Linked DNA regions of Astyanax mexicanus. The protein of the gene in region 1 interacts with the protein of each later gene in a pairwise test. Links are inferred from orthologs where the notes say so. Each region holds a gene or a part of one and is shown on either strand. Other genes may lie near its edges. The genes, in order: srfb and elk4.

Region 1 (12,829 bases):
AGTTCTGTAAATCCAATAGAGGTGTGTTATGAAGGGTGATGGCCTGTTACTTAGCTGTAAGCTCTGGACTCTCCGTCAGTGTCAGGTTAGCGATTGAAAGAACAAAAAACAAATTGAAAAAAGCCAGTGAATACATACTGAATGTGGTTTGTGTGTTTGTTGCTGAAAGGAGAATGAGAGGTTTTCTGATTGTACTTAATGAATATTTTTAATATTTACCTGTTTCTTTTTACCTTGAGGTGCTCATATGGGACAATAATATTCCAATGGAGAGAACTTGCAATACATCTTATTGCCTAAACTCCTTAAGCCATGATAAACAATGTATTCGAGATTTCTGCATAGCGGCGTTTTATAACCACATCACTGTAATTACAGTACTTGCTTGGCAAAGTCCTAGTTACACTCATTAATACAGAGACCGTGCACTAATTTCACTTAAAATGTCATTTTATATAACGGCTTATTATTTTAATGTAGAAGGTCGTACGAGAGCCTTCACTGGCGATGAAGGTTCTGTCTTTTTTTATACGTGTTTTTTTAAGGAAGGTACTCTGTGATCCTTTTATACAGATGTATGTATTCAACCCATTGTAACATCTCATTTTGCAGTTTGGGAAGTGTTGTAGGCTGTTGGACATTTCAGTGGTCGCTACCAACTGTAAAGACCACAAGTGCCTAGGACATGAAGGAATATTTACTGTTGTTTATTTTACATTTTATTCGCAGTACAGTTGCCTTTTTGTTTTGTTTTAATGAACGGTTTTATATGTAATCTTTTCTTATTATGTTTATTTTTTGTTTATTTCTGTGAACAAATACATAGTCCATGCCTTTTCAAGTACGTACATGCTAGGCACTCACACCTAGATTGCTTTTTTTGTTATTATATTTAGCAAAGGTCACAATAAACACAATGTATGCTGCTCTTATTAAACGTTCACGTTTGTAATGGCTGGCTTAACACTGAGGTTGCAGCTTCTTTTCACTACATTTCCTGCAGGTTTCACCTCTGCTGCCGCGTTCGGCTAATCAAACACCTCAGAAAGCAACAAATAGATTAATCAGGTGAGACTGATTAGGACTGGGGATAAAGTTAACCTCCAGGAGCAAATGGACAATACAATAGATTTTACGAATTAGGCAATAATTAGATTTCTACAGGGGTGGACTTGCAATCTTTACACTCTGGAAAAGTCCAGAACAGCTGTTTGCCCTGTTAAATAACCAAAATTTAGAGCCCTACCTGACACTCGGCACAAGGCATGTCGCAGTGCTTATTGCTATCTTACACCCAGCCAACAGTCTATGTTGCACCTGCGTTGTTATAATAGCAACAGAGTTTACGAATATATCTACGCCAATAGGTGTGTTGGTCTGAAAATGAGGTGTGTTCAGGTATGTTTCTGGTGTATTGCTCTCTTGGCAGTAGAAAACACTGGTGTGCAACTGACTGATTAAAACACTGACAACAATCAGTCGTTCAATAGTCCTACACACACGGTGCAGCACACAAATCCAACTTTTACATCAACAAAAAACAGAATAAACAGAAATAATTATAATATTGCTGTTCCTCTAAACGACCTTCTTGCAGCTTTTCACAGTGTGAATGCTCGGTTTCCTCTGCTGAGTCAGGCAAGGTGTAGTTTTTCTGTTGTTACGACAGCAAAGACACTGACGCACAAGCTGCGCAGTGCATGGTTGACGGCTCACCAAGAGATTGCCAAGCAAAGGTGAGTGAAATAAGAATGCGTAGCTCCTTTTTCCCAACGAGTCTCCTCCTCTCTGTGGCCTGCAAACTGATTTCGTGACGCGATCTTGCCACCTGTCTAAATACCGGAAGAGGCAAAAGAAGACGCTTAAAATCCTCATCGAAAAGGCTTCCAAAGGAGGATAGACCACAGTATCCTACCCAGGAAATGTTTTTAAAATTTTGGAGTGACAACACTATGGTCACGCCCACAAAGCACCTAGTACACATTTTATTTCAAGTTAAATTATTTATTAATTCATTTTTTTTTTACTTTTGTATGTCAAGAAATAATACAACTGTATAAAACACTTACATGACTGCAGAACATCTATCATTACTTTTTTATGAACAAATAAAAATATATATATATATCAATTTAATAAATATAAACAATAAGGCTTCCACTTTTATTTGATTGGCAAATATTTCACATAATTTCAGAAATGTAGTGTTTTCTCTGCAATAAACCGGAGTACAATTGTACAAATAACAGGAAGACCATATATTTGCCTGACTGTTTTCAGCAGCTGTGATTGGCTGGGCAGTCTTGGGGGAGCTGAAAGCGAGCGTTTTGATTGGCTCAGTTAATAGTCAAGTAGTCATATTAAAAGGGATCCGCTGTCCCATTTTTCCAATTACTCAATCACTGCTCCTTCTCTCCATTCCTCCTCCTTTCCTAAATTAATCTTCTTCCGGGGTAGGAGAGGAGTAGCTAAGTTTGTGGAAAGAGGAGAAATGAGGATGAGAAAAGTTAAAGAAAGTCAAGTCCCTTTAAAGTCAACGCATAATAATGTAAAAAGCTCACAGAGCGGCAGTAATGTCTTACAATTAAAGCACTAAATTACAGCGCGAGACTGAGAACCAGGTGGAAACTGAAGCTGATGAGGAAGCGCGTGATGGTGATGATGAAGAGTCAGCGAGGGAATTTCACCAGAGGAGGAAGTGGAGCCGCATCTAACAGCAGGTCAGGCATAGGCCTTTTATTAACTCCTCTCATAGCCTCACAGCTTCTATTAACTAGGTTCATCCAAAAGTTTAAGGAGGGGACATGTTTTTAGTGCTGGGCGGTATGACCAAAAATGTATATCACGGTATTCTGACGGTTTTATAGTATAACACGGTATCTGTATTATTAATATTGTGGCGTGGAAGAGGAAGGAAGACCCGTGAAACTCATGCTGAACGCTCAACAGCTCCTTTAAAGACCAGGCTTGCCACTCACTTACAGCCTTTAACAAAACTAGGAGAGCTAAACCCATTACCCCACAGAGCTCCAACAGCCCAAAGGCCACCAACCCAGCTGTGTGTCTCCCAGATGGCAGATCCAGAGTGGTGCCCACCCTCTCTGCATAACCCCTCCCAAGGGAGATGCCCCACCCCTGTCATCCTCGCACACAGGAGAACAGAACCATGCCTACAGGCAGCCACACACACAACCCAGAGCCGCCACAATATTATATATTTTGCATATCTAGGCTCTTATAAAGGCTTTGGTTAATACTAAGTTTAACTTGTCCCAAAAAATTACACAATATATGAAGAAATTAGACTTTATTAGCAGAAAAACATCTAAGGAATGTAAACAATAGACCTTAAAAAGAGATGCCAACAACTTTAACACAACTTCCTGTTTAAACTGAAATATTTAAATCGTTACTTAAACACTATAAACAGACATAAATACTCAATGTTTATATATTCAAAAGATGTATTTCTTCAAAGCTCTATTGCACAAGTTAGACTCGTTTAATATCAATTTACAATATGCTATTATAAAGCTATTGAAGGCATTGCAGTATTAAAATCAGCCACAATTATCTTCTTTCTTTAGTTAACAAATAAATGAAATTCAATGTACATTAAAATTGTCCTTCAAGCTACAGCATTAATTTATTTTAAAGGGTCTCTTTTCTGAGTGAATAATTGCTGTTTGCTGTTGTTTTTCTATTGTACCGCCCACCACTAATGTATCTTTATCTTCTCTTTCTAATTTGCTTAATTCTAAATAAGCTACCGGTACAAACAAACTTCGCTGTTGTTAAAAGGCTGATTTTTATTAAAGTTGATTTGTATCATAATCAATCACAGCAGCGTTGTTTGTGTAATTTCTTAATAGACTAGTTTTAGGCCTGTTTTTGAGGGTTAATATATACCCTAACAAAAGTGCAGCATATAAAACAAATGAAAAACATATAAAGCAGGCTAATTTTTACACGGAATAGACCTAAGAGAAATTCTGATTTCACCTGACACCCTATTTCAAGCTCATTTCAAATCGTTTTTTTTTTTTTGTCTTTTTTGTATCAAATGCTGTAATCAACCAAAGTTGGCTGATCACAAGAGTTTAAAAAATGTAATTGAGGTTTAAAAACAGGTTTAAGGTCTGGTGTTCCAAAAAGAATAACAATAATAAAAAAAACTCAACTTTTTAATGTCAATCAAGCATATTTCGATTAGATGACAGACATGATGTTATTGAGTAACAATTTAATAAAAACCCAATTTATTAACTAAAAATATTGCCTTTCAACACATTTTCTCTCTTTTCCAGACATGTGCCAGTGCGCAGTGTGAAGGGTTTTCCTAGATCCCATCACATACTGTGTGTGTGTGTGTGTGTGTGTGTATAAAACAACAATAGCCCCCAGACAGCTGGCGAGCCTATTTAGAGGAAAAAGTCCAGTGCTGTTTTATGGTCCCAGTCCATCCCTATATCTCTATTACTGGTAAAACAATTTGGATTTGAACACTAGAACCAGATACATGACTGCTGCATTGCTCTGATCTGATCAGTAGAGGGCGCTATATTGTGTGAGCTGGATTGTGTCCTGTCCGGGGTTGTTAGGCTAATCAGTGGATATTAGGCTCCTAATCAACTATTCAGTTGTTTTTGTCAAGTCTCCAAAATCACTAATGCTTTACTGTGGAATGCTTTTAGTGCTTTATTTGGACATAGCCGGTTTCATACTAGCTGCAGCTGGAGGCAGGACCTCCTTCATTATTATTGCACTTATATCACAGGCTCTCTTCATGTGACATTATCTGGTTCCCACCATAAAAGGCTGGTCGTGTGCTCGACAGCTTTTACTCCTGCTGTCAGCTGAGTCATCAGTAGGTGTTCTTTGCTGATGTGGGAGCGCTTCGTGAGTCCTACGTCTTTTGCCGTGAAAAGACATCCAGCCGTGTGCTCTCACACTCAGCACTTCAAGTGTTCCTCCCTCTCACCTAAGACTGAATAATGCATTTTGTGTTAGGTCTGTCTTTTGTTCTCTGTTAATGCGGCCTTGCCTTTCTTTTATTTCACCGTGCAGGGTGTACAATCAGAAGGATGTTCAAGCTTCCTTTTAAGGCTTTTGCATGTGGAATAAATGTTAATAAAATATAGATTACATTAAGACGCACATATAAGCTATATATTTAACCATCATGTTTTTGGGGGTCATAAAATCTTGTCACTTATCTGACAAATTTTAGTTTTTTTTTTTTTTTTTAATAGCAGCATATTATTTTTTTAGTTATGCAAGATGACCAGCTTAGATCCTGACCAGCATAGGGTGTATTTTTGTTTAAAGTTGATGGTTAACTGGTCTACAATCTGATGGTCTTAGTCTTGGTCAACCAGCATAGTTAAGCTTGCTCTTTCTGGTTGTCTAACTGTATATCCCTGACCAAAATCAAAGGCATCATACACTGTGCTGATCAAATGCTGAATTACCACCTTGTTAATTATCATAGTGAATGTTTTACCTGTCTGATCAGCTTTTCAGTTCAGCAAACACACCCTGATCGTTAGCAGAATTGTTCAGCAGGGATGCCTCAATGCTAAGAACATTAAATCTGCCATGGATTAATTTTTTATGTATGTTAATTTGTTATTTGATGTAAAAATAGTAGCTAAATATATGTCTTTGTTTGGGATGAAACATGCTCAGATGTGGTTTAAATGGCCATTAAAACCCTGTTCTTTTCTCAAAATTAGTCACACTGATTTTCTTTTTTCAGAGGACTCAAAAAAAAAAGATGAGTTCTGCTTTAATTGGCAGGTTTACAGCACACTGGAGCCACAGAGAGTAGACACAGAGTAGCATAGCTTTGTTTTTAGGTAAATACAGTTTTCCAGTCTAGTGCATCTTTAATGAACCCCTCCAGTATGAAAATTGCCTTCAATCAATTAAAATAAATGTCAGGGTGATTTGCTTGTTTACTCACTGCTGCACAAGCTTGTTAGTATTCTAATGTGGGCTAATGACTTAAGTAGGTATATAATTGTTGTGGTTATTTATAAGTGTTGGATAAAAATTTAATGAGTGGTGATAAAATGAGTCCAGTATAGGCCATTACAAGATGTTTTGGTCTGCTTTACACCGAGCCTGCCCTGTCACTTCACATTCAAAATAGGGGTTTTGAGTGAGTTTTTTTGTTTTTCTTTTGTTTTGAGAGGCAAAAAGATATACATTAATTTACAGCACTAAATCAAGTCTCTTAATCAAGTATTCCATGAATTTTGCACTCCACTTTTGTAGCTGTTATCTTAACCTACTGCATCTTTATAACAGTTACCATGGGAACTAGATGCACTACTGCTGTAGTCTATTGGAGTTGTGTCAAAGGTTGTGAAAGTGCACAGATAGCATGTTATGTTTGCAAATCATGTTGGGCCAGGTACGTTTTGGCCTGATGTTAGATGTCAATTGGTGCTTAATGGTGGACCAACTTAAGTGTGATATTGGGTGTCAACCAATGTATCATGGTAGGCGTGATGATAGGTGGCGTGATGATAGGTGCCAACTAGTGCTTGATGGTGAACATACATTGGTGTGAATTTGGGTGTGATAAGTGGGCTTGTGTCATCCGGTGTGTTTAATGGTGGGCCTATGTTGGCTTTATCATTGGGTTTATCATTATTGATGAACTATAGACGGGTGTCAATCGGTGTTTGACTGTGTGCTTACTTTGGCTGTAAACCTGTTTGATGGTCAGCTTATGTTGGCCTGATGTTGGCTTCAGAAAGTGCAATCTAATACCTACCAAATGTATATAACTGATTATTAAAAAATGGGTAATATATACAGAACCAGAACCAAGCATTCTCATTAATATTTGTTCTTTATTAACATTATTTACTACATTGAAGATTAATATTAAAGACTTAAACTATGAAGGAACACACACGCAATTGGGTAGTAGACAGTTCCCATTCCAGGTTGTACCCCATTAAGTGGACTGTGAGAATAATAATAATAATAATAATAATAATAATAATAATAATAATAATAATAATAATAATTATCATAATTGCATATGTGTTCCTTTATAGATTTGATGTCTTCAATTTTAATCTACAATGTAGAAAATAATACAAATAAAGAAAAACATTAAATGAGAAAGTCCAAACATTTGACTGGTACTGTAATTGGTGACTAAGCATACTAAATAAACAATTAATAAAAAGTTACAATATATTACTATAATATATTTTTGCCTATTCGTGAGTTTAAATAATCTTTAGTGGCTATTCAAAATCACAGATGCACTTCACATATACAATTAAGTGGTTGTTAGTAGGCCTGTCACAACAATACATCATTGACTTATTGTTCAATAAATGGACAAAACCTTTGACAATGGTGTATCGTTTATTTGTGTTTGTTGACCTATAAAATAGTATTGTAATTCAATGACCAATGCTTCAATAACTGTGACTGAAAAAAGTATATATTTTCCAAACTATGATTTAAATGACATTTTTTGTCGTATTGCTGTGTTATTCTATTATATTATCATTATGGCAGTGAGATTTCAATTGTCTTAAAATGTCAGTAATGTTGTTTCTCGTTATAACGTCTGGGACAATATATTGTCCACAACAATTATTGTGGCAGGCCTAGTTATTAAAAAAAAGACCCATAAAATGAACTTGCTGAAAATTGTCTTTATTATATTGGCATGGGGGTTACAAAAAATACTTGTGTGTTAAATTGTTAGAAATTGCAATTTTGTTCTCTGGATGAGCTTATTTACTTCACACTGCACGTGTGTGTCATTCATATTCCAAAATAATTTATGCCCAGCAGAGTAAGTGGGGTCTCCCTCCCTCTGCCTCCTCGATGACGTCGCCGTGAGCGCAACCGTTTTGGTATGTATTCAAATGAGCAAGGCGCTTTGACCAATGGCGTGCTGAGACTTACCCTCACGGACCAATCGGAGGGCGTCACTGTGACTCGCCAAATAAGGAGAGAGAACTCCTTATAAGGAAGCGTTGTATCTCTTTATATGGAGGAAAGTAGATCCGATAGCTCTGCACGGACAGATTCTTCCACAGCCGGAGAATAATATTAGAGAAATAAATGCATAAACGTTTACGGTTTTGCGTAAGAACGTGTGTTTTTAGGGGCGGTGGGACAGGCCTGTGAGGGTGGTGTGTTTAAGCGGCCCGCGGTCGACATTTTACAGGTTTGCGGTGTGAACTACATGACATGGCGGATTAATCGCGGGGGCGCGCTTCGTGTTTTCCTTTTAGAGAGAGTGCGCGGTGAGTTGTGGAAAGCGGGGGGGTGAGAGCGGCGCGAGGCTGTAGCGGGTTGAGGGGGTTTGGAGGGGCAGCATCAGTTTGGAAACTTCGCTCCGGCAGTCACTCAGGCTTTCCCGGCTCATTCCGAGAGAGTGAGGGGCTGTGCTGCTGCTGCGCTGCGTGTGTTTGTTTGGGTTTGTGTTGAATGTGCCCGCAGTACGGCTTGACCACACACTCGCCCACCGCAGACTGACTGACTGGGGTTCTGGTAGCTGTAGCGTTCGGTAGCGGTGTTTCTTTCCCCCGGTGTAGGATGTTATCCAGCCAGGCTGGCTCGGCGTTGAGTGGAAACGGGTCAGCGTCAGGGAACAGCGCGGCGGTGGTACACGGGGCTGTGGTGGTGGGCAGCAGCGGGCTTCGGCCGGGACTCGCGCGGACAGGCGCTCAGACTGTAGCCGGGGTGAACGTCGCTGCATTCGGAGGGGCTCCCGTGGGAATGCTGGGGGGAAACGGGCCCGGGAGAGGCGGCGTCAGAGCCGGGAACGGCGGTGGCGGCGGGCTCAGCGCACAGGTGGGCTTAGGGGCTCTGGGCGCAGGGTTAGTGGGGATCCCCGGTCGGTTTGACCGGGATAAAGAAGGGGGTCCACAGGGGTGCAGCGCCTCCGACGCGGACTCCGATTCTGGGGACGACGACGAACCCATGGCTGGAGACAGCCGGAGGGGGGTGAAGCGGGAAAGGGCCGAAATGGAAAGTGCCATGCCCGGCCAGGAGGCTGGCGTGCCCCCGGGGGGTTACGGTGTGGTGGCCGGCGGAGTTGCTGGAGCAAAGCCAGGCAAGAAAACACGTGGACGCGTTAAGATTAAGATGGAGTTCATAGACAACAAGTTGCGGCGATACACAACTTTCAGCAAAAGAAAGACGGGCATCATGAAAAAGGTGAGCTTTTCTGTTTGGACAGTTTCCCCATTTACACACCGAATGTCTTTATTTAGTAAGTAACTCACCCAACATCAGTGCAAGTTCTACTAGGAGTGTTGTTTAATTTTAATACATAATAACCTACATCATTCACCTGGGATCACGGATAACACGCACACGTGGGGCCTGAATGGGTAGGGAAATATCCCAACTGTAAACCAGAAACTTTGGTTTATGGGTTTCATGTTGGTCCCACATATAAATGTCAGTGTTGGGCCCCATCAGGGTCAAAGTTGAGACCCATGTAAGACTAAGTCTAAAGTGGGCAGTAATGATTTGGCTCATATGGGAAGCTCAACGGGGTCCCTGTAAAACCACATGCAATACAAACCACCCCATGCCTACCTAAAACCCACCTGTCCCGCCTTTCACCCATGTGAGCTCCACATGTGCTTGAAGTAGCAGTGCCCAAACAATAATGCATAACAAAATGCCCCAAAAACTGCTCAATTCATTCATATAACCTCTGTATATAACTATGGATGTAAACAAACTGTCTTAAAGAAAGTGACTTTTGGACTTTTGTCATTCCACTGCAATTTTTCTCATCTCTAATGTTTTCTCTCTCTCCCTCGCTTTCTGCTGTAATGAGGACTGCAGTATTGCATGTCCTCTCCTCTGGCACATGGTGACTGGAAGTCACAACAGACCCCACTGGCTGTGAGCTTTAAATAGATTAGAGCAACTGACATTCTCTATTTCTGACCACCGCCACCCTTCTTCAAAAAAACACACACACGCTCAGGGTTTGGCCTACATGAAGAGTATCCTTCATCAATGGAGCTTAACCCAAATATTTCAGAATGCAATTTCGGAATAGTTGCCATTGCATTGTTCCTCGTATGTGCTTTGGCAAGGTATGGCTGGAGTTTAGTCTCTGACTAGCCTGTTAGAACATTAATCCATACACAGTTACTTACTTCTAAGAAAAATAAAGCTCTAGGGCTTTAAGAAACAAGGGAAATTGAAGGCCATATTTCAGTATATTGCAGGTGACCTGTGCAGGCTCACTGTAACAGGTCATTGGCTCAGTACCAATACACTGAAGATAACTCCACATCTGCTTTCTTTCCCATAGGCCTGGTATGGGTCAGGGGACTGATCTGTGATTGGACACTCCTTCAAGTGTATTACACTATAAACAAGAAACTTGCTCAGTCTACATCAGTACATATACCATGGAATGGTACAGTGAGTGCAGTGAAATTAGTGGAAGTTATTTAGAATAGGCAATAGCTAAAACAGTAAAATGCATACATAGAAAAAAGAACACAATTTTGTTTAATCATTCATTTGCCTGTCTAATTAAGATTTTTTTAAATCCACATGTGGGCCACGTGTGAGAAGCATGGCCCAGTGGGCATGCAACCCCTTTCTCAAGAGTAGGCTATAGAAATGTTATTATTATTATTATTATTATTATTATTATTATTATTATTATTATTAATAAATTATATTAAACCACCACTTAGCCCTCTACCAGATCTCCTGCCTTTTACTATGGCTGTTTCTCAAGAGCACTTTGCATACTGAATGAATAAAGACACTTTAAAATGTAAGTCCCTTGTATTGGATGTGCTGATAGTAATAAGATTGTAAGTAAAAGTAGATTTTAAGTAAAAACTGTTGAAGTGTTGCAGTACTCTTGTTATGTTTATGGTATAGAATAAGTTTAAACTTTCCATTGTTTTTGTTAATAATCTTTATCTTATAGATGCAGAGATGCTAAGATTTGACCAATATATCAAATGGAATTTTAATAATCATTTTGTAAGCTTCTGTAAACAAGTGTTACATTCCTTTGTAAATGTTTATCAGCAATTTTAATACAGCAGCACAAATGTACACAAAGTACAGTATGTTCAGTCCAGTACTGTGCACTTTTAGGCAAAAAATACAATTCTGTATACAATACAATACTGTTTCTAAAGCACCTTTCAAGAAAGTGTATTGCTTTGGTTATTCAGTGCTTTTATTACATTATTTTATTTAAAATACTTTTAAATAGTGATCATTAAATAATACTTAGGCTACTTTTTATTGCTGTGAATATGATCGAATGCACTTGGGTACATGTTTAAGTGCTCCGGAGGGTCCTATTCTGTTGACAGTACTTTTCTACAGGGACGGAACAAGCTGTGTGTGCATTAGCACATCTGTTTCATCTGTGCAAATGAAAACTAGCTGCAAATGAAAGCAGCTAAAAGTAGAAGGGATGTCCACAAACCTTTTGGACATAAAGTGTATATTACTCCGTCTGTTGGTCTGAAAAAAGCTTTGCAAAATTCTGTAAAAGGAATAACAGCAAATATCTGAAAACACAGAACCCATGTGGGTGCATTCTCAGTCCTAAGTGCTTTCCCTTTATATTGGCCTTTTGCTGTGGTCTTAATGACCTGTAGCAGATGATCACCTGTCCTCGTTCTTCTGGTCAGTGTGTCAGTTAGCACCTCTTTCTGCATGCTGCATGGTGACAGCTGTCTGAAGGGGTTGCTGATGTCAGAGCAGAAGAGTTCAGGAATGCAGTGTTCCCACTGTATGATGCTCATAACCACTTGAATGTTACTGCGTGCTCTCCTCTCTCCAGCAGCCAACTGCAGGCCTCACACAGTCTGATAAGCCTATTTGTTCTGGAGTCACAGTCTAATTCAGAATATTACTCCATTGCATTTTTATTAATGCCTATATCCACAATTACTGCAAAAATGTGTTTTGAAACATACTGGTAAAATAAATAATTGTTAATCTGCTCTTAACCAGAAAGCTGGTTGACGGCTCAGGAGAGCAGGCCTTTTAGGCCATTGGTTTGCTGGAAACAAATGTACAAACATGTTACAGTTGTGGGATGTTTACATTTTTTCTTTACATATTTATCAGTAATAAATGCAGCTCTGTAAACTGACCTTTGTTCTGGTGATGGCGATGCAGCACATGGCTGCCTGTACATTCAGGTAATGTGTACAGTTGTGTACAGCATGCCGATGCTTCTAAGTTTTCTTGCTGAAAGCCAGAACTGTGCGCAGCTTTAGCATTCCTGCACAACCATCAACACATAAATTCAGCTTCAGCAGAAATAAAAAATAAAAAATAAAGGTTATCTTCCAACAGCAGGAATATCAAGACAGAGAAAGCTTCTTCTTTTTTTAATGGCATGTCTGCTGGCTCATAATCCTGCATCTTTTTATTGTGGAAACAAAGGAGAGTTTATGTACGTGTTTAATCACTGGCCAACTGAGCTAAAGTCTTCAGTACAATCAATTTTTTTTCCCTTTCTTTTTTTCAAAAACAGCAACAGATTGGAACGCAGCATCCACAGTCTCAGACTCTCTGCTTTTGTGTGGGCTGAAGACTGTAGGATGTGCCTTATGATACCAATTTGCACATTTCTTTGGTTGGTAATCTTGAAGCACACTTTCAGGTAGTGCAATTTTAAGATTGGGAGATGAAGTAATTTTCTGCCTTTGAGCAGAATCTACATGGACCAAACACTATCCTCATTGCTCCTCACACTGTAACCTTGCCCCTGCAATTTTGCACAGTAATGATGCTGTGTCCAGGCAACCGTCTCTCCCTCTTCCAGAGA
Region 2 (12,593 bases), on another chromosome or scaffold:
ATAAAAATAGCAGTGCTGAAACTGAGACAGAACAGTACAAGACTGAGCTGGAGAGCGGCCAGAATTGTAGAAAAATATAACCCTATATTGAACATCACTAATATACTGAGCATTAGTGCACTAGCCACTGACATGGAAACTGTGGGATGATGCCAACACATTTCAATAGTGCTGGTATATACTGTATACATACAGTGCTGGGAAGCAAAATATGTAAATGTAGAAGGTAGGGGTGGGCGATATGGCTCTAAAATAACATCACGATATTTTAGGGTATTTTTGCGATAACGATATACTTGGCGATATAGGAAAACTAAAATAATTCATTCATTTCAGAAGTATAGTATAATAGTATAACAGTATAATCATAATGTGGCAAAATAAATAATATAGCATAAAATAATATAATGCAGCAAATAATATTGCAGAATATTAAGTGCATGCATATATACTGCAAACTAAAACAGTTATACAATAAATACACCTAAAGCTTCACAGTAAATAATAGACTACTTTTAAGACAGAACAGCCCTATTATCACGATATGGATTTTTAATATCATGATATTTCTGTGTCACGATATATTGTATACGATATAATATTGCGCACCCCTAGTAGAAGGTTCTGATATTTAGTGAGAACATATGTAAGCTGTTGTGTTTGGTCATTTGGTGACCATGGTTAGAGTGAGAGAGCAGCCATTAACCCTTAAATTTCTCCTTTGGGGTTTCAGTACAAGAACGAAGCTTGTTGATGAGATGGGAAACCATATTATTGTAAATAGTAACGGTGAATTTCGCACTACCCCCCTCCAACCGGTCGCATGTGGGCATGACAAAGGCGTTCCCTGCGTCGTCCAATTAAATCATTTTAATAAATGGGAAATGCTTTTTATATAAGCTATTATTATTTCCAATAATTAATAACTATAAATGTGTCTTTATAGATATAAATGTTTGAATGAGCTTTATTACACTGTCTAGTGAACAGTATATAAGCTGAAAAAAGCAAACTTTTCCAATTAAATTACATATTAACATTTTAAAAGCCCACCAGAGACCCCAACAATCACAGCAGCCTTTCTCCTCGCTGACAGAGTCCCTGTGAATCAGCAGGGATTTTATAAAGCACAGGGAAGCCTGAAAGGCTTCTCTGGACGCTTGAAAGCGGAACTAAAATGTTTTCATGCGCTGCGCTGAGGACGCGTTACAGGCCAACACCTGCTCTCTGATTGGATAGACGCATTGCGTTGGACGGACTCATTTGCATAAAGTTCAGCTCGGCTCAACTTTTCATCGCATCCCCCGCTCTCGACGCGTCGGACCCATGATGCACCGCGCAACTGCGTCTGACGGAGGCGGCGCTTCCCATTGAAAATGAATGGGATCCGTCGCTGTGCGTTGTCGCGTCGGAGCAGTGTAAATTCACCGTAAGAACATACTGCAACTTTCAGATATATTTCTCCAACATAGCTTAGTTCCAAACTGGCACTGACCAAAAAAAATATTTTGTGAATTATCATGTGTGGCGTTTAGACGCTCTGTGAATCTGTTCACAAATCAATGATTCAAAACAACACTGTTTACAAGCCCATGCGTTGATATCATACTCTGACCTCATGTACACACAGCCACGGAGAAACTGAGTCCGTCACCGTAAAACCGAAATCCTGGATAGGCCTATATGGAGATATTTGGAGTGCATTATTAGTATTATGACATTCTGGATCATTTACTTCAGTTACAAATCTGATAAAATTCTTGTATTATTTTAATCTCTTAGTTCTCTCAGTGTGCCATATCATATCACAGGCAAGAATAACATTTAATTTTCATTTATTTGCAGTAGTGTATGCTTTTTTTTCTTCTTCAGTTTTTTTCATATCGCCAAGAGTATCGTTATCGCGAAAATACCATGAAATATTGTGATATTATTTTAGGGCCATATCACTCAACCCTATACAGCACTGCTGCTGGACAACCAAAAACAAACAGTGGTGTTCTAAAACTTTGACTGGTAGTGACCCTTATAGTATGCAGTTGCACACATCTTAAGCCAAAAACATGACAAAGCATAATGGATTTAAATAAGTTCTGATACACAAACCTCATAAACTGGGAAGTGAAAGCAAGATCCTCTTGGGACATTCATTGTTTACAAACTGTATCAAACTCTTATTAAAAAAGTGAACTTCAGTCTGTCACTGCAGCTTAAAAATAATTTTAAAAAAAATAACAGCCTCTGACAAACGTACAATGGCTTTTGTGCAATTCGTCAAACACAAACATGCTCATAAATTTAAAATATGAGAGGAATTCGGCCCAGACAGTAGAAGAGAGGATGGCATCTCCTCACCCCTCCCTCAGACAGAGTCCTGCATAACATTACTTCAACATGTGGGTGGAGATATAAGCCTCAAACAGACACTGCTGAGAGAAACTGGTGTAACAAAATGTGTCAGAAGAGCAAAGATCACTTGTTAGCTGTCTGTCTTTACAAGCTGAGAAAAAATAAGACACTTCCATTAGTTTTATATAAATGAGAAACATATCATGCACCTCCAGTAACCCAGACAGAAAAAGGAATACCAGTTAGTCTGTAAATATTTTTGGCAATATAGTGTATCTTGTATCTATACTTACATAATCAGTGGAATTAGTTTTAGTAAACATATTAGGGCCACAACATATCTAATTTCAGCATCAACATCACAATCTGGATGTACACAATCACAAGATGCACAGTACATGACCACTTTTCAGAATGTGCAAAATCATGCATGACAATTTAAATTGAACATGAAAACTTTATACAAATTCTAATTCACGCCAAAAGTCTCATTTTGGTGCATTTACTAATTATTAATATTGTGACATGCTGGATCATTGACTTTTAAAGACCACAGTCTGTATTTATGATTATACAAAGCTGGTATGAAATGTAGGCCATAAGCTGATATAATCAGTATTTTTATATATATGATTTTTTTTATTATTATTACCTCAAGCAAATTCAGCAAAGAAAATTTTACATCATTCCACATGGCCTTATAGGTTGGATTACACCAATATATTATTATCAACAATATATTAATACATCATGTCTTTTCAAATGAATCTCTAGTGCCATGCCTACCATCTTTTTCTTGTGGCACCATAAATGTAGAATATTTTACAGAAGGCCTCTTTTTTCATTATTTACCCCATTGTTCTCCCCAATTTAGCTAGGCCAACTGTCGCAGCCACTGTAGCTGCTATTCAGCTATATATCCCCTCATTACAAGTGATGCCACAACCTAAGGAGGGTAAAGACATGCATCCTCAGACACATGCATGCCTCTTTTAGAACTGCTGCTGATGCAGCATTGAACGAGTAGCATCACAGCGTGCTCAGAGGAAAGCGCAGTGACTTGGTTGTGATACATCAGCTCACAGACACCTTGTGCTGATCAACATCACCCTAGGAGCAAGGCCACTTGTGCTCCCTCAGGGCTCAGGCAGCTGATGGCAAGCTGCATGACCGGGATTCTAACTAGCAATCTCCCAATCACATGGCAGCGCTTAGACCGCTGGACCACTCTGTGCCCAGAAGGCATCATATGTGACACAGATACACAGTTTGTGTAGCAGTGTAAACAGCAAAAACACACAAAATCTGACATTTTAAAATCCGATCTGTTACTGAAATATGACACATATTCGATACATTGCAACGCAAAGCTAATTGGCCAGATTACAATTTGTGTCACTTTTACGGCAGAATGAAAGCAAAAGACTGTGAGTACAGTGAAAATGGCCAGGAGTAGATTTGAGGGCTTTGGTGGCAGAAAAAAAGGAGGTAACATTTCATAAACATTTGGACTGATATTTCTGTTTCAATAATATTAGATTAATTGTGTAGCAGCCGTACAGTGCTCCTAATGAATTGGCTACAGATCGTGGCTGCTGCATTTTTACAGAGAATGTATATATATACAGCCCTGGGAAAAAAATAAAAGACCACTTAATGATGCTGTTTTTCCTGGATTTTACCAAATTAAAGTTATACAAAAGCAGTGTGTAAGACGCGTGGAGGAGAACATGCCAAGATGCATGAAAACTGTAATTAAAAACCAGGGTTATTCCACCAAATATGGATTTCTGAACTCTTAAAACACATTTCTGGATTTCTGAACTAAAACACATTTAACTGTTAGCAGGGAAGACCTAAAATACTCCAGACTTCAGATTAAAACTGGAATTGTGCAGAAACAAGCACAAAACAATGCAGTAAGCTTGTTTTTACCAACATTTTAGTTAACTAACTAGCTATAACAGATTATTTATGTAGTTAACTGGTTAGCTAGCGTAGCTAATGTTCTAACCTATTTAGCCAGTTTAGCTAACATTAGCAGCATTAGCCTGCTAACCTACTCCATTCTGTAACGTTACAATACAGCAAACTCTTGTCAGTTAGCATTAATTTAACGCTAAATTTCTAGTTATAGACTTAACGCACAGCCCTGAAAAGGTTTTCGAACAATTCATACAAAACCCACAGAACAGCTAGCGTTAGCATGCTAGCCTAACCATATCAAAAGAAGCTTAGCTTAGCCTGTAAGCTAACGCCTGCTAGCCACCTTTCCAGCTAGCCTGTCAGCAGCTCACAGTGCAGTACAGTACAGTAGTTGGGAACACTGCAGTCAGTCATTCGCGCTTACCTCCCAGATTAAATCCATCCACGAATATAGAATTTATCGCGATTTAACGCGTAAAACAGCCGCTGGTCAGTCATATAGACCAGAGAACAGCACTAAACCCAGCAGAGTTACTGCTAATCCCACCCCAGTGCAGTGTTTTGTGCTGCAAAAAAAACAGGAAGTTAAACTCTCTCACTCTCTCTCGCGCTCTATATCTCTCCATCAGTCTCTCTCTCTTTCTTTCTCTTTATCTCGCGCTCTTTCTCTCTGTCTGTGTCGCCATCTCTTTCTTGCTCTCTCTCTCTCTTTCTGTCTCTCTGTTGCTTTCTGTCTGTTGTCTCTGTCTGTCTCTCTCTCTTCATCAGGCTCTCTCTATCTCTGTCTGTCTCTTTATCTCGCTCACTGTCTCTCCATCAGCCTCCGTCTCTCTGTCTGTCGCTCTCTTTCTCGGTCTCTCTGTCTGTCTGTTGTTCTACCTCGCTTTCTCTGTCTCTCTCTCGTGCTCCATCTGTCTGTCTCTATCTCTCTCTGTCCCTTGCTCTCTCTGTCTTTCTAACTTGCTCTCTTCTTTTGGGCTCTCTCTCTTTCTGTCTTTCTCTCTGTCTGTCTCTACCTTTTTTTTCTCTATGCCTGTCTGTCTGTATCTTTATCTCTGTCTGTCCCTTTCTTTCTATGTCGTTCTCTCTCTCTTTGTCTTTCTATCTTGTTCTCTTCTTCTGTCGGGCTCTCTCTCTTTCTGTCTCTCTCCCTGTCTGTCTCTACCTTTCTCTATGCCTGTCTGTCTCTCTCTCTCCCTGTTGTAAACCACCTTACTACACTTATGCAAAAATAAAGAAGTGATTTTGAGATTTTAAGGCCCATTTACAACTTTCTGGAAAAGTTGTGAAATTTGCACAGTGCGCTGGTTAAAAAAAATCAATAATTTATTTATATTTATAAACTATTTTTTTAACTTAAGTTTTTCAGGAAACGTCAAAATCATATGACAATTATGTTAAAAACTCTTCACACAATAACAAAACAGTCCTAGGTAAGTGTTCTGTTTGAACTACTAAAATAATAGTACAACTATTATTTGAGTTGGGTTGGTGATCCAAGCTGGCTGCACTGCACATCAACAGTAGTAAAAGCAGTAGTTTTACACTGTGTATTGTCACTTTAACTTATTTGTGTGTCATTAAAAAATCTGTTGTACACACAGTACTGTACTATGTCTATCTATTGACATGTTTCCATGGTGTTTGGATGTGCAAAACACTGGATAATGCATTGTTATCAAATGATATTACAAAAAAGGGCCTATTTCAGCCAGAAAAAAACTGCAAAAAACTTCAAAGTAAACCGAATGGATTAAGTTTACTCTGTAGACACTTTTAAGGCAGTTTTTCCTTTTAAATTTAATTTTTGCACATCATTTTAGCAAAAATTACCCTGGTGACACTTAAAAACTTGTGAAAGCTGTATTTTAAAAAATGATAGTCTATTTCTTTAATGTATTTCCCTGTTTTAACAGAACATCCAACCTACAGTAACCTCCGAATTCCCAACCTGCCAGTTACACTCAGACACGCCTTCCAAACCCTCTCCAGCTCTCAAAAATCAACCACAGAGAGCCAGACATTCCTGTCGTACAGGCGCTCCAGCTTCAATAAGCCACGCTAAGATTCCTTTCCCACATGCTTTACAGCCACATTACTGATCCAGCAGTTTGGAAAGACCAGCAAATAACAGAAAAACACAGAAATAGACAAAACCCAACACAGGCTTGTAAACAGGGGACTGTATTTTACATTCTGAACTGCAGTTAGCTTATGCCAGTCATCTCAGATCACTTACAAAACCTGTTCATCCATGAAACAACCCCAGCGCTGTGTAAAAGACAGATTTGCAATGGCTTAAGATTAATCCAAAACAACATCATGGATGCCAAGTTAGCTTCTCAGCCAATTGTTTCTTATTGTTTTATTGTTGTACATAGGAAAATAGCATTTTTTTGTTTCTCAGTTATTCAAAAATATAACCTACACGTCTCCAGCTATACAGTCGAGCAGCTACATTGGATTGCTTTGAAAAAGGAAAAGTATTAATATGTTAATGAATTTCCTGTTAAGGCAGATGACAGGAGGGCTGGGGTATGGATGGGGGTGGGGTTTTGGAGATCAATCTCTTTACAGCACACTTCTCTTCCAAAAAAAAACAAGAGAACACGTAGGGGAAAAACACTGAAACATTGTCAACCAATCAAAAGAATCAGGAGACCAAAATAAGCACCTTTACATTAGTGGGCTTTTTTCAAACACAGCCTGTTCCACACTGTGAAACATTTTTTTTCTATGTAATATCCAGGTTACCATGTAACAGGTGAGTGTGATTACTATGTAACAGTTTAATCTGGTTACCAAGTAACAGATGAATTCATTTACCATGTAACAGGTGAATCCGGTTACTATGTAACAGGTGAATTTGGTTACAATGTAACGTTAATATAATTACAATGTAACAGATGAATTCAGTTACTATGTTACAAATTGATCCTGTTATTATGTTACTATGTAAAAGATTAATTCATTCATAGTTACTATCTAACAGATGAATCAAGTTACTATGTAACAGGTTAATCTGGTTACCATGTAACAGATGAATTCAGTTACCAAGTAACATGCAAATTCAATTACTATGTAACAGGTTAATCTGGTTACTATCTAACAGATGAATCAAGTTACTATGTAACAAGTTAATCTGGTTACCATGTAACAGATGAATTCAGTTACCAAGTAACATGCAAATTCAATTACTATGTAACAGGTTAATCTGAATTCAGTTACTAAGAAATATCCACATTCAATGACCATAATATGAATTCTGTTATTATGTAACAGGTTAACCTGGTTACTACGTAACAACTGAATTCAGTTACCAAGTAAATTCAAATGCAATTCTTATTAATATGTAACTGGTTAAGCCAGTTACTATGTAACAGATGAATTCAGTTACTATGTAACAACGGAAATCAGTTACCAAGTAACATGCAAAATCAATTACTTTGTAACAGATTAAGCTGGTTACCATGTAACAGGAAAAATCAGTTACAAAGTAACATGTGAATTCAGTTACTGTGTAACAGGTTAAGCCGGTTGCTACATAACAGGTGAGGTTTGCGGTCAAAACAGGAAGGGAATGGCAATTATTCATGATTATTACCAATAGCGTTCTTATACAAATCCACAGAAAGACTGAATTGTCAAAAATAAAAGAACAATTTAAGGGCCGTCGTTCATGAAGCTTCTCAGAGTAGGAACGCTGATCTAGGGTCTTGTTAATAAGAGCTAATTCTGATTCTAAGTCACGTCAGAAGTTTGTACTTTTGGAGATCGGACGTATAACAATAATTACTTACTAACAGCATTTTTAGTCAGTTTAGCTCAGAGTCTTTCTGCTCTTTTTTTTAAAAATAATTTTCACCCACTCTTCACTTCTAAGTGCTTCTAGTTCTGCAATATTTTTAGACTGCTCCCACCCACAGGTTTTGAATGATGTTAAAGTCAGGCGACTGTGAAGGTCGTTCTAAAAGCCTGTGCTGCTTGTAGATCATTCTTTATGAGAAAAAGGACAGAAGGTCAGAAGGTTCATAAAACTTGTTGAAATTCTTCCTTAAATTGTTGGTACTTCAAATGCATTAAGTACAACAGTGTGTAGATGTAACTGTTTTATATAGCACCAGAGGGCAGACCATAGAACACTGACCATAAAGAACATCTGAGCTGACCTAATGTAAACATGACCTGTGTTCTGAATTGCTCCCTATTACAGAAATAGTGCACTATATGGTTACTTTGTGGCTATATGGCCCCAGAATTGCACATTTAATTAGCAGGTCAAGCTGCTTCAGCATCAGCAGCCGGAGCCCGAGAGAGCACAATTAACCATGCTCCCACTGGCTGGGTCCTAGTGATGTAAGATTTACTATCAGCTCAATTTTCTGACCAAGAACTGAAAATCATATGAAAAACTTGCATCAAATATTGAAAAAAAGAAACAGGTTTTCATCTATTTTTTTTTTATTTTCTAGCTTCATTTCTGGCTTTCTCAAACAGTATTTATAAAATTATTAAATATGTATCTTCTCTTGAAGCAAATATCTGATGGGTCGGTGTATGTAGTATCCAAATGATAATCATTAAATGTAAAATCAGAAAATGAAAAAGGGAAAAACTTTTTTCTCTTTGATTTTGCAGTTTGAATGAGACCCTTTTTTCCCCACATTTGAAGCCAATTAACAAAGGCAAGGCAATTCAGGGCACACTAAAGCAGTAAAATTCTACTTTTAATTTTAACGTTTACAATATAAAATATGTATAATATACACAATATACAATAAAAAAAAAACCAAAAGATTTTCTGCCATTTTTTTTTGACAGTTGTTTAGAGATACAAGACACAGCCAGACACTGCATTAAATTATTATCATCCTACTGCATTAATGTGCCGTGAATTGCCTTAAAATTGTCCTGGTGAGTGGGTGGTTGGGTAGGTGGGTTAACCCCTAGAATCTTATATTTATTATCTATTCATTGATCCCACAGGGTTCAATTTTGGGTCTCCTTTTGTTAAAGGAGATAACTGGTATGAAATGGACTCTGGTTGAAGTAAAACCTCATAATGAGTACCATGCGGTTACCTCGTGTTTACCCCTGACCCCCCCTCCCCCCTTCTCAGGCAGCAGCACTCACACAAACACAGAGACAGAGCTGTGCATCGTGATGATGATGCTTAAACGATATATAGTGCAGCCCTAATATAAAACATGTCTACAAGCAGGGTCTAAGGTGTTAACTGGTTCTGCTAATTTGGGTGAATAAATAAAAAGTAAAAAGTTAGCTGCACAGGGTGCTTTTTTTCATATTTACACCTCCAAAAATCAAAATCTTCAAAATACTTTTGTTGGTTATGATGGTGAATTTTGTACTGTGACGTCTCTTAATAAGCAACAAATAAGCAAGAAATCGAATCCTAGATCAGTACGCCTACTCTCTGAGAAGCTTTATGAATATGAGCCCAGTTACATATTCAAAAAACACATAAAGCATAAAGGCAAGATGGCAGAAAACTTCCAGAAAGAAAACAAAACAAAAAAAAAGGGAGTACAGGTGTAGAAATCATTCAGCTGGATAAACTTTCATTCTTTAACCAGCGCTGTGACTTTCTGAATGAATGAGCCGTTTCCCCTCCCCAGTGAAGAAAACTCACTGACAGTCACCCGGATAAAGAAGAGATGGCGAGTAACAGTCTCTGATGATTCATTACTCTTTCACACAGCGACCCATAGCTTCATATCGACGAGACAATCAACAATCAGCTGCCCCCTTCTGAATCAGGACATTACGGCAGTAGGCTGTCCTCCTGAACGTAGCTTATTGAGTGAAGTGCACCATGTATTCATTGTTAATGCATTGATCAGAAGCAAAAGCACACTATGATAATGTAAGGAAGCAGCTTTTCTTTTCAAAGGAAACGATACTTTACATGGAGAAAGAACAAAACTGCTCCTAGCTTATAGGTCTGTATTACAGTACGTGTATATACGTATATATATATTTATACGATGATGACGACGATGATGATAATGATGATGAGCAACTTTGTCCATAAACATAGTGAAGTCACTCACCCAAAGTCCCAGAGATAACAAACGTATGTATGTATGTAAGGGAGCTCTGGTTTGGCATAGCCTCTCTCGACCGAGTGAGAGAGAGATGTGTATATACTTATATTGTATATACATATTTAACGAGGCACAGGAGAAAAGTTGGAAGATACTCAACGTGAGAATATCTTCTGGTTCAATCAGGGATGTGATTGGGCCAAGAAAACGTCCTTTACAGATTAGTAGCATTTTCGTAGGTACTTCCTACTTCAGTACAAAACAAAAAAAGAAAATGAGAGAAATATGAATATGAATATGTAAATAATATGTAGAGTAATACATAGGTGTAACGACAATCACACTGGACTTTGTCTTGATTGAACTGTTCAGAGGGCGGTACTCCGCAGAGTACACTAAGTGCTATAAAACTGATACTATTCCACGACAGTCGAGATATTTTTGCATTTTAATTGCATTATTTTGCATTAAAAGCTCACGTTATATGAGTGCATATTGCCACAATCTAAAAAGGCGGGGGATCTTCATCTTGGCTTCACCATGAAACAACATGATAGTCTATTAATAATTATTATTATTATTATTATTATTATTATTATTATTTTCTACATTGGTCTTTATTTATTATTATTTACGGCAGTCTTGAGACTATAATCGCCCTATAATCGCTTAACCTTAATTCAGCTCATGTCTGTGCTACCTCCTGCCCAAACCATTAACTTGAGACTTGACTTGATAATAAACTACTAATACTACTTACTATACATACTATTCCCGTCTGAACAGACTTACTTAAGGGAATACTCGCAAAATACAGACATTTAGCACCCAAATGTAGCACTTAATCTCTCCAAATCTTTAATTTTGCATTGGATTGCCTTCAAAACCCTCCTAATCTCTTCTTTTTTGTGAAATTAAGTGAAAAGTCAATACAAAAACAAATCTCAAACCTCAGCTGACCTACATTAGCTTCCATAACAAAACCTCCCGCAACTTTCACCCCCGCTGAACGGAGAACGGAGCAATTAGCTAAGCTTCAGCTGGGCCTGGGCCTGAGCCTAGCGGATCACCAGAAATCTGCTTTGAGCTGAACAATCACATCCCTGAGATTCGACTTAGCTTAGTGTAGCACCAAGAAAAGCAAACATCTGGATAAACTATAAAATGAAAAAAAAAAAGGAGGCGGGAAAAAAGGTAAGGGAAGACTGCAGTCAGTTTAGATCTTCTAACTCTCTGCTTGTTAGCCAGTTAGCCTGTTAGCCTCCGAGCTCCAGGTCTGCTGTGGGTGGGTGAGTTGGTGTGTAAGTGTGGGTAGGGGTGGGGTCAGGAGGTCCTGGCGCTTCAGAAGTTGGTTCTGATTAGTCTGCTGGTGCGCGGGCTCCTGTGCACCTTGGTGTGTTTGGATAAGTGGTCGCTCCTGGCGAATTTCTTGTCGCACATGGTGCACTCGTAAGGCTTGACTCCGGAGTGAGAGCGACGGTGGCGGGACAATTCATCAGACCGCGAGAACCTGCAGCAGCAGATCAAAACACGATAAAAGACATAAGAATTCTAATAAAACATAGCAACATAGCACAAAAACAAGGAAATATGTGTTTTATATATTTGGTATTCCTTTGTAGTAACAATGCTAATTGGCAATGAATCTTATATTGTAGGAAAGCCTGTTAAATTCCAATTTGTAACAGCATCGGATTGTGGCAGCACCTGAGCGGCAGCACTTGTGAGCATGAGCTCTGCCACAGTGGCCACTGTAGCACTGTAGGTGTGTGCTCAAAGAATCTGCATCATGCCACGTTTGACTGATCTGGATACAACCCATGCGACAGTGCTTCAACTTCAAGCTGGTGTTCCGCAAAACCAAGTTACATTGGCATTCTTCGAAGTACCAGCTCTAAGTTGAAGGCCAAGTTCCATATAACAGGGGATGTCAAAACCTTAGGGCTGCAACGATTAATCATTTAAATTAATTTAAAACAAAGCGTTAAAATAGTCATCACTACATTTCTAAAATTCTCTCACTAAATTGTCCTAGAGCCTGCTAGAGTAGTTAAACAAGCTGTTTCCCATTCTTAGTAAATGTGCAGCTCAGGGAAAATTTAAGAGACAATCTAAAAATGATGAGTTTCTCTGATTTTGTCATATTAAAAACCTTTAGAACATAATCAAAAGAAAGATAGATGATCACAAGCCATCAAACCAAGCTGAACTGCTTGAATTTGTGCAACAGGATTAAAGGCATATAGTTATCCA

What was found.
Region 2: the proteins of srfb (region 1) and elk4 interact in a two-hybrid assay, tested with the Homo sapiens proteins (2 studies listed by BioGRID and IntAct). The link is inferred for Astyanax mexicanus from reciprocal best matches to the Homo sapiens genes SRF and ELK4.

What each region holds. Positions count from the first base shown.
Region 1 is NC_064414.1:39,385,512-39,398,340, forward strand, and holds the start of srfb (serum response factor b), read left to right. Parts: upstream 1-8,088; 5' UTR 8,089-8,580; coding exon 8,581-9,204; intron 9,205-12,829. UniProt on the Homo sapiens protein: SRF is a transcription factor that binds to the serum response element (SRE), a short sequence of dyad symmetry located 300 bp to the 5' of the site of transcription initiation of some genes (such as FOS).
Region 2 is NC_064431.1:6,342,739-6,355,331, reverse strand, and holds the start of elk4 (ETS domain-containing protein Elk-4), read right to left. Parts: upstream 5,322-12,593; 5' UTR 4,700-5,321; intron 1-4,699. Other genes in the region: si:ch211-117k10.3 (Krueppel-like factor 15), read right to left, coding at 11,682-11,850. UniProt on the Homo sapiens protein: Involved in both transcriptional activation and repression. Interaction with SIRT7 leads to recruitment and stabilization of SIRT7 at promoters, followed by deacetylation of histone H3 at 'Lys-18' (H3K18Ac) and subsequent transcription repression.